3 linked regions of the Kluyveromyces lactis genome follow. The protein of the gene in region 2 purifies or fractionates together with the protein of the main gene of each other region. This does not show direct contact. Links are inferred from orthologs where the notes say so. Each region holds a gene or a part of one and is shown on either strand. Other genes may lie near its edges.

Region 1 (5,106 bases), on a different chromosome or scaffold from region 2:
GCTCTTAATATTGTACGCACAATGAACCCCGAGATTATATCAATGTCAGACTGTTTGGATTCATCAATCACATATACCCAATTTTCCATGGCCGTTAATGATGTTGCCCCTAATCTTTTAAATCCCTTGAAAATGCTAATGGAACATGTTCTTTATATGGATAGAGATCTCGTAGACGCGGACGTTCTTCAACCAATCTCAAATCCTACTAAAATTGTAAATGAATCTGAGCTATCGCAGTTAGCAACTTTTTTACCGAAGGAGATTGTTTTCTCCAGGTTCCAGAAATTATATGTTGGAAGGGAATCGGGCTTTTCTATGAGATCTTTCCAATCTAAGGTCTTCAAGTGGATGGCACCTACGATATTATTCGTAGAGGGTATGAGAATTCGTGACGAGGACGATGAAGATGGCGATGCTTATGCCGTGAAAAATCCAAGGTATAGAAACTTTCTGCAAGAATATGGTAAGTTAAAAAGTGAAGATCAACATTTGGATACGTTAAGTAAGAAAAAACGAAAATTGTTATTTGCTGTTTGTATTCGCGACCCATGGAAAGTATCAAATAAAGATTTGTTTGGTGATTCGTCTACAAAAATTATCCAACTTCATCCAAGACAAGAGATCTTCGATGCGGACCCATTCAAGACAGGAAACGTATATTTCAACACTGTTGGGGGAGGTATAGGTATTGGTAGCTCTCAACCTATCATCAAAGCTAACGGTAAAAAATACTTCCCAGGAAATGTTTCACTTACTATTGATTCATCTCTCGAGTTCGGTATATTTAGACATTTGGGAGCAGGTGGGAGTTTTAAGCCTGGCCGTCTAATAAGTGGACGTGGAGAAGAACGGAATTCGTTCGAATACCGATTCATAATCCAAGATGTAGAAGTGTGGGGATGCGGAGGAGAAAAAGAGCTCGAAGAGCAAGTAAAGCAATGGCAATGGGAAGAGGCCGAAGCCAAAAGAAGGCAAAAGATCAACTTACAAAGCATGGGAGAAGATCGTGCATTATTGGAAATGGCAGGTCTTGTAGGGCAACATCAAAGCGGTGGATCTATTTAAAATCGCTAAGTAAATATTAAATATTTGAAATTGCATAGAATTTTTAAATTGATCATTTCTTGCTTTTCGTCTTGTTAATGAGCTTTTTCTTAACGTGTTTTTTTACTTTGGTCTTCCTCTTTTCACGTTTGGCCTCTTTTGTTTCTTGCTTACGTTGTTTTTTAGCATCTTTATCTTCGTACTTTTTTCCTTTCAGTGGAGTGTCTTTATCGGAGACCCATCCATCACCATCAGAACTATCGTTAGTTTCATCACTATCATCATCTTCATCTGATCCAGCTATGTCATCTTCATTGATATCCGTTACGAGGTTAGGGAGATCATCACCATCTACGTCATCTTCCTCGTCATCAGAAGAAGAGAGTTCATATTGCTCCGATGCTGTGAAATTTTCGGAATATTTCCTGTTTTCATTAGCAATTAATGATTTCAGTAGGTCAAATTTACCATCAGTGAATCTATCAAAATCTCTTTCCTCTAAACCACCCAAATTTCTTATCAAATGTAAAGATCTGAACACTTCATCTTCAGCTTCGTCTTCATCAGTCAACTTTAGAGGTAAATTGTCGGCAACATATGTTTCTAGATCATCGCTTGATCTGTAATCACCCTTGAATTTGTCTAAGACCTCACTGATGATGAACTGGAAGATCACCCGTTCAGGGAAAATGTCAATTCCCAATTTTTGGAAATATGAGTTAACATTCTTAATATCCATTCTTAGGAAATCTAGAGACATAGGATGTTCTGGTTGTACGGATTGCGAAACATCAATAATATAAAGCTTATCCTCATGTACAATACTATTATACTCACTCAAGTCTGCATGAACTAAGCGACATACCTGATATAACAGTCTCATGTACGCTATCATTAAATTGTAGTAATGTTTAATTTCTTCTCTATCTTTGTAAGGATGATCTTTAAGCCTCGGAGATGCGAAACCATCTCCTCTATTTAAAAATTCCATGACTAAAACGTTTGATCTAACTTCTATTGGTTTTGGACAAGGTATGACACCGCTTTGGTATATTCTCTTCAAGTTTCTAAATTCCTTTTCAGCCCAAATTTTGATCATCTTACGAGGATTATGTTGAGATCTCGAATTTCTGAATCTAAATTCACCATCAACGTATCTTTCACGATCCTTAAAAACCAAGATAGATGTCTTGTAAATCTTCACCGCGTATTCCTTCTTATTTTTTGGTTCATCAGTGGCAGTTGAAGTGGATGTGGCATCCTCAGATTCGGCAGTTAGAGCTTTTTGTTTTGTTGATTCAATATTTTGTGGGGCTCCTATTGTATCATCATGTCCCTCTACCAGCAGATGTCTCTCCTCATGATTACCAGCAAACGCATGGTACACGTTTGCTTCTTTACCTGTACTCAAACAACCATTAAATGCTGATAATATTCCCCTGTTCATCATGGATTTCAAAAACCTCATCGTACGTGGGTCTAAAACATTCTCTACAGTGGCCCTATTCGCCTTATCTTTGCTGGTTTTACCCCTAGTTAATGATAACTCATCTGTTTTGATGCTATTGGCATACCTCTCTAGGATCTGAGTGTTGACATGCTCATCACGGTTGGCTAAATTCAGTTTTTCCAGCTTATCGTCAATATTCATCATTCGTAGTCCAACTATAGATAACTTCTGCTTTCTGATTTACTAATTTGACAATACACAGGAGCTGAACGGCGTATATTGTTCTGTAAATAACCACTATTCCAACCTCATCGCTCATCTTGTACACCATTAAAGTAAAGTAGCGTACTTTTTTTTTTCCTACGTTTTTTTTTCACGATGCTCTAGACAGGATCGCGAATTGCTTTTCAATAGAGGAAATAGTTGTAAACATTCTAAAACGCTCAGTAGATGAATTGAAAGGTCTACCTGTGTAAGTGGAAGAAACCAACTTGCTTTAACGTCAGGGTTTGTCCTTATTATACTCCTATGCAGCAGCAATCAAATATGGTTCATTTGCCACAAGTATGTTTCTTTTGGGTATTTAACCGCAGTTGAAAGACGTTTTTACATGATCGTTTGATGCATGGTTTTTTTTTGATACCAGTAATATGTACTAACAGATGACATTGCCCTTTAGACATTCCTGTCTTATCCCTTGTACATAGGTGTTGAGGTTGCACTTGGTGTGCTAACCTTCAACAAATTCAGCGGGATGTATGGTGTTCTTGCACTTTTCACTGGACACCCGTTAGACTTTGTGCAATGGACTTTTTACATCTGGTCAATTTTCTGTCTAGTGGTATTCATTTCAGGAATAAGACAAGTTTATAAGCCCAATATCCTCTTAATGTCCACGGTTACTTTTGTGTTCAGTGTGGACACAATTGTTAGTTGCATTTACTGCTTATGGTTCACTGCTGTGTGGTTCAGCCAGGAGGGCTCCACTGACGTTACGGACTTGAAGAGCGCGGGAACCGCACTTGGACCAGCTCATGAGGGAACCACATCCACGATCTCAACTAAAGTAGATACTTCTAAGAGTGCTTCTAGCGGCTATGAATTTTTCCTCATCATATTGCTAACTTTAGTTCCACTAGCAGTCAGATTCTATTTCAATTTCATCATAATTGCATTCCAACAACAACTATTGCGCAGTGGGAAGTTCACATTCGATCAGAACGATATAGAAGTCAATCTACACAACAGAAACATTTTGTTTAAATGGAGATACAAATTCGAAAAATGGTGTTTCTACCTATGCAAGAGATACTTATAGCCCGGTACCCTTTAAACACATCATTATATAGATACGGACTAATATTATCATATAGCTAACATTGCATCATTGTCTTTTCAAAAAGTGGTCCAAGTGGGGTTCGAACACGGAATTAATTCCTAATCAGAGAGCAATTTTTTGATAAGATGCACCATCCTATTGAGAGATCAGTAAGAGTGACTCATAAAAAAAAGCGAACACAAGACCATCAATTGGCACTGGATATGACACACAATGCGTGATCACTCTTGACAGGGTACCTCTTTATACAATGAAGCTTGCATCGCTCATTGTTCCTGGTTTTCACCTCTGATTCATATCTTCAGGACTCTATTGTATTGTTCTTTCTCACTCATTATGTGCATCTATGCCGTTAGCTGTTTTTTTCTTTATATATACTGCAATGTGAAGTATTTCCATTTAGGAAGTTTCTTCAAAAATCTCATCGCTAACCATATCACTTAACGGTAAGTTGATCTGAATAGATAATAAAGGGCACTGCAGTGTTAGTTACTAGACTTTGGAATCTGCTTAGTATCCTGCATCCTGTACGCTACATTAGATAATCAAATTGAACCGGTCGAAAAGGCTTCCTTCCATACTTTAACCCAATAATGAGAGTTATCCGTCAATTACACACTTCTAAAAGATTGTTGCAATCTTTAGTCGATAAACAAAAATACCAGGCAACCACTTATGCCAGACCTAATCATTTGGTTCTGACTAGAGGTAAGAACGCCATTCTTTATGATGATGTTAACAATAAAGAATATATTGATTTCACTGCTGGTATCGCAGTAACTGCTTTGGGACATGCCAATCCGGAAGTGGCTGAGATCATGTACAAACAAAGTAAGAAACTGATCCATTCTTCTAACTTGTACTATAATGAGGAATGTCTGAAGTTGAGTGAAAATCTAGTGGAAGCTACTAAATCGTTTGGTGGTCAATACGATGCATCCAGAGTTTTTCTATGTAATTCCGGTACCGAAGCCAACGAAGCTGCATTGAAATTCGCCAAGAGATACGGTATCCTAAAAAGCCCATCGAAGCAAGGTATAATTGCGTTCCAAAACTCTTTTCATGGTCGTACCATGGGTGCTTTGTCTGTTACCAGTAATCCAAAATATCGTGAACCATTTGGTTCTTTGATTCCCGGAGTGGAATTTTTAAATATTAACGATGAGCTGACCAAATTGGATCAACAAGTTTCTAGCTTGAAAGAAAAGACTGCTGGGTTGATTGTGGAACCAATTCAAGGTGAAGGTGGTGTGTTCCCAATCCCATTGGA
Region 2 (3,914 bases):
TGGAATCGAATTCCCTTGGCCTTTGGATCCATTTCTGTAAGTTGCCTCCCTGTCTGTCACTAGAGCTGCCTGTGTGTCTGTACAATTGCACGTGAACATGCGATATCATCAACAAAGCGCCACATATTTTCATGGAAAAGAAATGAGCTCCAGAAGACATAGTAGAGCCACAGTTGAATAGAAATTTGTCATCTCGGCAAGAGGCGGAATAACTAGAAAAAATAAATAAATAAACATCACGTGATTGATGTCACGTGATTGTTATATTTACAACTCAATTGTATATTGTCAGCCATTACAGACAGTAGGACAGCGCCGATTATATTTTGAGTAAAATCACTGAGTAGTAATGTTTTTATTATTATCAGATATAGATCCTGTATACTGGTTTGATGTAGTTGTACATGAATAGTAAGCATTGATAATGGGCAATGGATAGTACATAGGTATCCTTACAAAAAAATGCAAAGAATTCCCACCTTTTGATTTATTCTGTTCCCGTTGAATGCAAATGCTGAGCGTGTGTGAGGAACGGTTTGTATGAGGTTTGAAACGTTAAACGTAGAATAATAAAAGAATAGATAGAAAAATTAGAACAACCATAACATCCATTATGTGAAAGTTATTGCTGGTTTAGCCTTGCAAAAATTTCAGGATATCAAAAGTTCTTGTTCATTATTGTGTAAGTCCCTTTAAAATTGATTTGTTTAATCGAATAGACCGAAACCCATGTCGTCATCAGATTCTTCCTTTTCGGATTCTGGAGCTTCTTCAGCAGCAGCTTCGGAAGCACCGGAAGCAGCAGCACCAGAGGCAGCAGCACCAGAAGAAGCTGGGACAGAGGCCAACTTTTCGGTACCTTCAGCGATAAGTTCTTCAACAGACTTACCTTCCAAAGCGGACAACAAAGAAGAAACCTTTTCTTCTTCAACTTCGATTCCAACGGATTCTAAAACAGCCTTGACATTGTCAGAGGATGGGGTGTTGCCAGCGGCGTTTAATAACAAGTAAGCGGCCAAGTACTTCATCTTTAAGCGTTCAATATTTGTCGAGGTTTCTGGGGAGAATTACGTGAACTATACCAAGAATTAAACAGTATTATGCCTTTAACAATTAAAATATAAAGGCACTTAAACCTTAAACGTGTATTGTAAACCTCTAATCAATTGACAAAAATGTTGAAGATTCGTCAAGGTAGAGAGAATTACCGGGCGCCATTGGAAAGCGTTGAAGCTTTCCACTGTGAGAGTACTAACTCTCGCACTGATTCCATCGAATTGCAGATTGGGAACCAGATTCCTCGATTTTCCAGTGCTAAAGAAAATCAGTGGAATTGGTCGCCTAGATGTTTTCCTTTTTCGGACGAAAAACTTAAAAGATATGGATGGTAAGAAAACAACAAAGTGCGGTGTACATATAGTAATAGGATTTAAACGCATTTTTATATGTGGTGTATTGTGGTAACAGTCCCTTATTTTCATTTTGAGTCTCACCACTTACTAATTTTTTCGCACCGAACTTACAATCTGTAGGCAGACTCGCCAATTTCCTCCTACGCTCCGGTTCCACTCCCTCCCTGTTCTCCACCCTGTTGGGTACACGGAGTGCAAGCTTACTGGCCTGCCTACCGGTAGCAAAGCTTCCTGCCTAACCTTACCGTCTCCCCCGTCCAACCCATGCTTCCAGCTGGGAATAGGGCCCATCTTCTCCTCCGCTATTGTCTCTGCGAACAGCTTGGTTCCCTAGTATGGGTCCTACCATTGAATGATTTTTTTGGTGAACTTTTCAGAATCATTGCGAAGTTTGAGGATATCGACCTTTTTCACCAATACGAACAATCTCAGTTTGAATTTAATGCTTTTTTTGATAGTTACAGCTTTTGTTGATTTCACATAGAGATTTTAGTTGATATTGCAATTCATTTCACGTATTCTTTTTATAATAGAAGGTTTCAATAGAGCTTGGTTTAATTTTCCTTTTCCTTTTTGTTGTTTAGCTTAACTCACCGAACCATACAATAAGAAAGCAAGCCAACATGTCTGAAGCCGCTGCTCCAAGAAAGAGATCCTTCAAGACCTACTCTTACAAGGGTGTTGACCTAGAAAAGTTGTTGGAAATGCCAACTGAAGACTTCGTTAAGTTGGCCCCAGCCAGAGTTAGAAGAAAGTTCGCTCGTGGTTTGTCTGAAAAGCCAGCTGGTTTGATGAAGAAGTTGAGAGCTGCTAAATTGTCTGCTCCAGAAAATGAAAAGCCAGCTGTTGTCAGAACTCACTTGAGAAACATGATCATCGTTCCAGAAATGATTGGTTCTGTTGTTGGTGTTTACAACGGTAAGGTCTTCAACCAAGTCGAAATCAGACCTGAAATGGTCGGTCACTACTTGGGTGAATTCTCTATCACCTACACTCCAGTTAGACATGGTAGAGCTGGTGCCACCACCTCTCGTTTCATCCCATTGAGATAAACTACTTTATTGATAAGAACTATTGCAAGAACTCCAAGAAAAAATTTCCCCTTGACAAAATACGCTTCTCTGTTTTTTTTTTGAAGTTCGGACACTTAAGAAGTTTTGGGCATTGATATAGTATCCAGATTCCCTCGTATTATCATGTGGTACCGAATTTTAAATCTGCGATTATATCAATGATATACGCAGAATTATTCCAGAAAACTTAAAAATTGATCCAGTTGTCATCCTCAAATGCCCTTTTAATTTGGACATCAAATCATGATATCGATCCCTTTGTTTCTTATAGAAAAATATCATCGGGTTGGATACGGTTTATTATAAGTTTTATTTCTATCCTGGTGTCTTAATAAAATAAAGATATTTCGCTTCACATTGGAATCTGACCAATTCATCACAACCTTTCCTCACTTCACAAGGACTACTATTTTTGGGGTTTCTTTCTCATCTTTTTATTATTTACGCTTTTATCTCTACCAACGTCCAACAAATGTTTAATTAGTAGGAAGTATATCTTCTATTCCATATATAACATACATCTTTGTATATTTTAAAATATCAAGGTTTCTCGAATTCACAGATGTCAATTCGAATACACTTTCATATCGTGGAAATGTTAAAAGTGCTATACATATACACAGTCATGCATATATTATACTTGTAAAGATTACACATCATAACAAAACGATAATTAAATGATGATTCATCAAGATGACATTTTATTGACTATTGATAAGAGCGTGTTTTCTGGTTTTTGGAGCACCTAGTGAAAAATTATATGACCTATTGTTGATGCTGTATTCCTGCAAGATCCTCATGAATTTCAGAATCTTTTAAACCACCAAGTTCAGGAGCACCTGGGAATCCTCCATAGAATTTCCTTATACCATCTAAGTCGCTCAATTCATTATTAAACCTCATTCTGTCTACAATGACTTCTAACTTATCGACAGGGTTGTTATGATATCTGAAATTGATATTTTCACATAATAAATCTTCTGATAACAAGTCGCCTGGACGTCTCAGATTGGCAGGAGCTGCGTATCCGGTTATACAACTCAAAGATTTATTTGAAATTTTTATTGGAACGTGATAATTTACTTCAGGTACAACAACGTCCATTTCACGTCTCTCTTTATTGATGTCATACCACTTCTGGGTTGTGTTTCCTAATAACTTATGTTTCAAATCTGAGACCTTTCTGTAGAAATCTTGATGAATAAACGTTCTTGTCGCCCTAGTTTCGGTATCTATGCACTCCAGCTCATACTTTTGCCTTTGGTACATTCTCTTTAGCTTAAAGTCCCGTATCGAAGCAATCTTCTGATAATAAGTCTGTAGTTGAGGATGTGATCCATCTAGACACATCTGTAGCTCATTCTGTAATTTGCTCAGCTTGTTTTCATATAGACTCTGTCGCAATTGAGCAAATTCGACTTCAATATTT
Region 3 (5,846 bases), on a different chromosome or scaffold from region 2:
TATGGATTCAAAGGTTTGAAGGCATCCCACGGTGTTTCCGTATCTCACAGATCTGGTGGTTCTTACGGTCAAAATCAAACACCTGGTCGTGTGTTGCCTGGGAAAAAGATGCCTGGTCATATGGGTGTCGACACTGTAACAATTCAAAACGTGCAAGTGCTGGACGTCAACGACGAAACAGGTACTGTCTTGGTGAAGGGCTCTGTCGCAGGTCCAAATGGTGCATTCGTTAAGATCCAAGATGCTATCAAAAAGCCAACCCCAGTATAAAAAACTGTGATTAAGAAATTGAATCTTTTCAGTCGTTTAGACACCGTCCCGAAATCATTTGGAAAGCATGCCTTTCTACGGTTATTATTAACAATCTATACCTGTATATACACCAATTATAAAATAGTAACTGCTGCAACGTTGAGTGTCCTTTTCAACCAGATATTTAATGGCTTTCATACGTTGATACTGGATCCTGGGTATATGTCGGAGAGAATTGATTACAATTTTTTTCTCTATGTGGGAAGATATACGGCCTGCTATGTATATATTTGCCTTGCTTGACAAGTGTTAGTTTCAGCTTTCATTGGATCCGCAGAAACTTTTTCGTTTCTTGACCATGCTGTACATTTCTGTAAGGTGTTATCTTTACTCATCATCATCCAATTCCGATGGTTTCAATAACCCACCGATCTTGGAAGCTCTTTCTCTTTCAAGTTTATGTTGTTCCGCGAGAGCTTGTTCTTTGTCCTCTGCGAACAAATAATCGGTTGGATCTCCACCGAACTCCTTGATCTGGACCAAGAAATCTCTAATAGTACCAGTGAAATGCTTTGGATCATGATATTGTTTGAGTAGCGCTTGAATGAAGTTCATAACCTGTTCACCACTCAAATGAGGGAATGCATTGCTTAACATGGTTGCTAGATAGTTAGCCAAGTAAGCTTGATTAGAAGTGACTGCAGGAGCTTCATCTTCCTTGTATAATGGTACAGCTATTCTATTTTCTTCTACTCTGGCAATCAAATTCATTAAAAGATGAGCTTGCTTGCTGAATCCAGATTTGTGATCTGAATCAGTGAGGACATAGAAGGTTTCGCTAAGGAATGTGAAGTAATAGTTCTTGTAGAAATCGTTAGAGAATTCAGACGGACTAGCGGAATCAACGTTTTGAATAAGGTCTAAAGCAATTTGTAACCCATTTACCTCAACATCTCTGTTGTTGTGTTTGAACGCCCAACATATGGCATCAACGAAAAGTTTGAAAGCCGGTGGTGGTAGTTGAGATATCGCTACGAAACACTTGGAGTTGATGGCCCTCAATAATTTATAAAACTCCACACGATGTTCCGGATATTCCGTGAAATCTTTATTGATCATGTCTAATGTAGCTTCAAAGACACTCTGTAAAATCAAAATGACACCGCTGATCATCATAGGCCCAACTTTGTTGACAAGTGTGGTCATACAACTTAAAATCTCAGCGTCACGGGCATCTGGTACGGTAATGTAGTAATCCCGTAACACAGAGTCAAACAGTGCTGATGCCAAGTCATTTACGATGTAGTCTAAATCCTTTGCACTGGAAATGTATAATTCCATTAATTTTAGAATTTCTTTCTTGATTGTTCTTAAACCTCTTACCTTTGGAGTCTTAGTAGCAATAATCCCATCGCTGGCTACTTGTGTTGAAATACATCTAGACACAGCTGAGCACAATGACATCATTGGTGTGAAGTTACGACTCAACTGCGGAGCAAAGTCATTACCCATAGCGGAACAAACGGCAACGTTTGTCTTTAGAATATTGGTAACGATTTTCACAGTTTCAGGGTCCGACAAAATATCCAGATGAGTAGATGATTGCTGAATTATAGCGTCCCATGCCATGTTAGGGAGTTGCATCAAATCTGCTAGTAATCTTTGTTTTTCTCCTGGGTTTCTTTCATCAGAAATAATTAAACCGCAAGCCTTGTAAAATGTGTGTACTTGCTGAGGTTGAAGATCGGAGGTGTGGTCTTGAATGTTTCTAATTATTGCCTGGATGAAAGGTTCACTTTCGTTTGGCTGTTGAACGACAAAGTGACGTTTACATCTCTGTACAATCTTGATGAAGGTGTCACAGGCCATATCTTGAACACCCTCATGGGTTTCATGCATAAATTCAAATAGTTTTAGAATGACTGTCTTCAAGAACTTCCAATGAGCTTTTAAGAAACGTGGGTACTGACCGACAACGTACATAATGTTCGATGCAACAACAGCCTTGTTGTCCTTACCGCGCTTTTTATCAGTCAAGGCTAAAAGATCTTTAATGATTGTAACGACAAATTTTTTCTCAGTTTCCTCGTCCATAGTACCAGAAATAGAACCAATAGCCCAACACAATGTGTTGATGTTGTGCCATGACCATTCAGAGCCATCAAGTTGCTTTGCCAATTTATTCAACATGATGTCTTCAGTATCAAGAACATCTAAATGCGTCAAGTAAACAAGTACTTCCCTTTCGGACTTATATAACTGAATTGTGTCCGACTCCTTAACAAACTCTCTGACGATTTCACCTTCATCGTTTTCCACAATAAGAACTTCCTCTGGTCTAACCATCGATTCTATTATAACCCATCTTAACTGAGAACAGATGTTATCGTAAATGTGTTTCTTTAACGGGAACCTTTTCAAGAATTCCGGGTGAGGAGCACCATTGCTCCCTGAGAACATATTCGATCCTTGAGATAGTTTCAATAGGACGTTATTCTGATTTTGAGGGATTTGTTGCACCTCTTGGTACAAGGCCGAAACCAAATTATTCCAGTAGTCCAAAGTCGTTTTGAACAATTCTCTTTCGTCAATCTTCGAAAGTTCAATCAAATATTGATGCGCAGTAATTAATAGTTCCCTCAAGGATTCATCATCTTCTAATATTGAACGGTGTCTGGCCAAATAGGTAGTCAAGAACATGGCAAAATCTTGCAAAAATGATTGATCGTTGCCATTAGCAGTAGCATATGTGTTCTTCAAGTCAGCATTCACCGGTATAACGTTAACAGCAATTTGTTGCAAAGCATTTTGGAAAAACATTACAGTTAACGAAGCAATCTTTGGGTCATTTGCTGGAATATCAAGTTGAGAAACTTCAGTCAAACATTTCAAAGTAATAGCTCTGGTGTCAGCAGAGACTAAAAATTTCGTACTCAACAATTGCAAAATATCAGTGTTGTAGATGTAACGGTATGGGATCCAATGCAAGTATCTCAAAAGAGATTGCAAAGTGGCCACCATAAGGGATGGAGAAGATGCGGTTTCCAAAATTTCGTAACATAGATTGAAAATCTGTTCAAATTGTTGATCCATAGATTGTTTTAAATGTAGTGCTTTAGCTTGCGTCATTTGCTCTGCAGAGAAATCAAAGACTTCCTCACTTAATAACTTTAGCATTACCATGTTGTTTTCACATACGTTTACACTAGCTTGGGAACTGAGAACCAACTCCGGGATGAAGTCTGGCCAGTTTTCTGGCCAGTCCTGCTTAAGAATTTGAACCAAGGTTAAATCAGACTTATGAATCAAATTCTTCTGAGTTTGGAAAACCTGATCATCTTGACACATTGAAATAATCATTCCAACGATGAAATTACGAATTCCAAGTCTATGCTCCTGAGGTAACATCTTCCATTTCGTCGTAATTAACTTATCCAAAATGGAAAGCCCAATGAACTTCGTTTGCGGATTATTTGAATACTGCAAGATTTTATCAGCCCTTTGCCAAGCATCTGGATGGTCCTTCAATTTAGTAAGAACCTCTTGTGCCTCCTTTTGAGACGCACCAGAGCCCTTGAAAAAGGTATCCACCACTTGATCTAGGAGCTGGATGTCTAAGTCCCGAGAAAAGTCTAAAACAGCCTCCATATTGATTTAGAAAGAAGAACGTGTGTGTGGATCTCTTTTTACTATTTTCCTATGAGTACAGTGCAGTAGTATCCTTCTTATGAAAAGACCCTGATTAATTAAATGCAATGTCTTGTTCCTTTAGTCTGCTGTATAAATTCCACCAAGATTCGAATTCACAGCTGCAATTTCCGAAATAAATAATAAAGAAAGAAAAAAAAATACACCGGACTATAGTTTTCTTATTTAGCACTGAACAGTAACGGTTGAATCTAGTACGAACAAAAGTGACTCGATAGCACGCTGCCAGATCTAAAATTTATCTAACAAATACATGTTAACATTCTGTTTACTTTAGACCCCAAACCCTATCAATTGAAGGTTTTGGCTTTAGTAAAACTGCTTCTTTCGAAAAATCAATAATGGTAGGGTAACTAAATTCGTGCCTTGTGATGGCTTTAGGCGTGGCGCCCAAACATACACGTGATCTGAAATCTTTTCCTTTAGTTAATCAAAAAAGGTACTCTTCTGTGGGTATACAAGTCTATATATGTAACAAATGATGGAACATAAATTAAGATTAGGTACTCATTGATCTAAGATGATGATGAGGATGAGTCGGTTGTTCCTGGTTTGGTAGATGTGTCTTTGATCAGAGTTCGAGATGTATTTTCTTTTGAGCTACTTTCATCTTCTTCAAACCAGTGATTGTTGCGACGGCCTGGCGACCACATAAACTCTGATTCCTGGGTATTTAAAACAGGTGACTTAAACTCAAGCTCGAAATCTTCAGTGGATCCGTTTGGATAAGAGGATATTGGCACCATTATTTTAGGTAGTTGTATCTTGCCTCTACGGTTCAGTAAAAATTTCCATCTTGCGACAACCATTAGCATGGTATCGTAGTTTCTCTCGTTCCGGATCAGTTTATCAACTTTGTTCATGTCGTATAAATTTTTCACATAATCATCGATCCCAAGACATTCAGTCTTGTTATATGTAGTGTACAATGGAACTGTTTCCATCAGCTGATTGAACTGCACGGCGTTGTATCTCTTATTTCCCAGCTGAATTTCATGGACAAATCTGTTATAATCTAGTCGTCTGGCGTTCACTTTTTGATAGTCTATAGAGGAAAGTTCTTTGCTGAGTCCGAAGTGATCAATTTCAACATCATATGGATCGTTTGGGTTTACTTTCATGTATTTAGACACCAAACTCTTAACAGTAAGTCTTCCCTCCCAAATTTTAAACGAGAGGGGTCCATCAAACGAGTGCATGAATTTTGGTAAGTACGCGACATCAAATTGCCCTACACCATCAGGATCAATTTCCCTCCATGCCACTTTGAATTTCCTCACTTCTTCTTGGCTTGCTGGTGAGTGCTTATTTTCCTCTCTATGATAGACGTAGCTGAACTTTTCTACGATTAAGGAAACGAACATATTAACGAAAATGTACATGGAAATTATATTCCAGGACATTAGTAAAGCATACGCGAAAGCTTTTGAACCACAATCAGTATAGCTTCCATCAGCTTCAGAGTAACAAAATGGTTCTTCTATTGTCAAATCATTCATGATATAGTTCCAACCTTCACCGAAACTGCATCTAAACAATAAAATCAAAGATTTCGTCACCGTTCTACAATTAATGTTCCCCGTGGTATTAGGACCTAATTTTGTTACTCCAAATACTTGATTTAAGGCAATAGCATACACAAGGAACAAAATGAACCATGTATAAACCAATGAGAAAATAGATGGTAAACTCGCAGTAGCTGTGTTCATTAATTCATTCAAAGTATCATTCTGAGGAATCACTAAAAGGAAGATTCCCAACTGGAAAACATCACGCGCATTGGAAATACCCACCACGACATGATCGACAATGAGTTCATATATATTAGTTGCAAATGCAAACATCACAACGACACAACGAAATATATTCCAACGTTTTCTTGCATA

Evidence for each region.
Region 1: the proteins of RPS15 (region 2) and RIO1 purify together in Saccharomyces cerevisiae (affinity purification with mass spectrometry; 3 studies listed by BioGRID). This does not show direct contact. The link is inferred for Kluyveromyces lactis from reciprocal best matches to the Saccharomyces cerevisiae genes RPS15 and RIO1.
Region 3: the proteins of RPS15 (region 2) and CRM1 purify together in Saccharomyces cerevisiae (affinity purification with mass spectrometry; 3 studies listed by BioGRID). This does not show direct contact. The link is inferred for Kluyveromyces lactis from reciprocal best matches to the Saccharomyces cerevisiae genes RPS15 and CRM1.

Annotation. Positions count from the first base shown.
Region 1 is NC_006041.1:1,884,047-1,889,152, reverse strand, and holds RIO1 (protein kinase RIO1), read right to left. Parts: upstream 2,702-5,106; coding exon 1,121-2,701; downstream 1-1,120. Other genes in the region: RTC5 (Rtc5p), read left to right, coding at 1-1,068; KEI1 (Kei1p), read left to right, coding at 3,026-3,061, 3,177-3,815; ARG8 (acetylornithine transaminase), read left to right, coding at 4,430-5,106. UniProt on the Saccharomyces cerevisiae protein: Required for the final endonucleolytic cleavage at site D converting 20S pre-rRNA into the mature 18S rRNA. Required for the final steps of cytoplasmic maturation of the 40S ribosomal subunit.
Region 2 is NC_006042.1:738,211-742,124, reverse strand, and holds RPS15 (40S ribosomal protein uS19), read left to right. Parts: upstream 1-2,035; coding exon 2,036-2,464; downstream 2,465-3,914. Other genes in the region: KLLA0_F07887g (uncharacterized protein), read right to left, coding at 1-160; RPP2A (ribosomal protein P2 alpha), read right to left, coding at 708-1,028; Rpd3L histone deacetylase complex subunit DEP1, read right to left, coding at 3,251-3,914. UniProt on the Saccharomyces cerevisiae protein: Component of the ribosome, a large ribonucleoprotein complex responsible for the synthesis of proteins in the cell.
Region 3 is NC_006041.1:1,428,092-1,433,937, forward strand, and holds CRM1 (exportin CRM1), read right to left. Parts: upstream 3,901-5,846; coding exon 640-3,900; downstream 1-639. Other genes in the region: MRPL9 (mitochondrial 54S ribosomal protein uL3m), read left to right, coding at 1-270; calcium channel protein CCH1, read right to left, coding at 4,476-5,846. UniProt on the Saccharomyces cerevisiae protein: Receptor for the leucine-rich nuclear export signal (NES).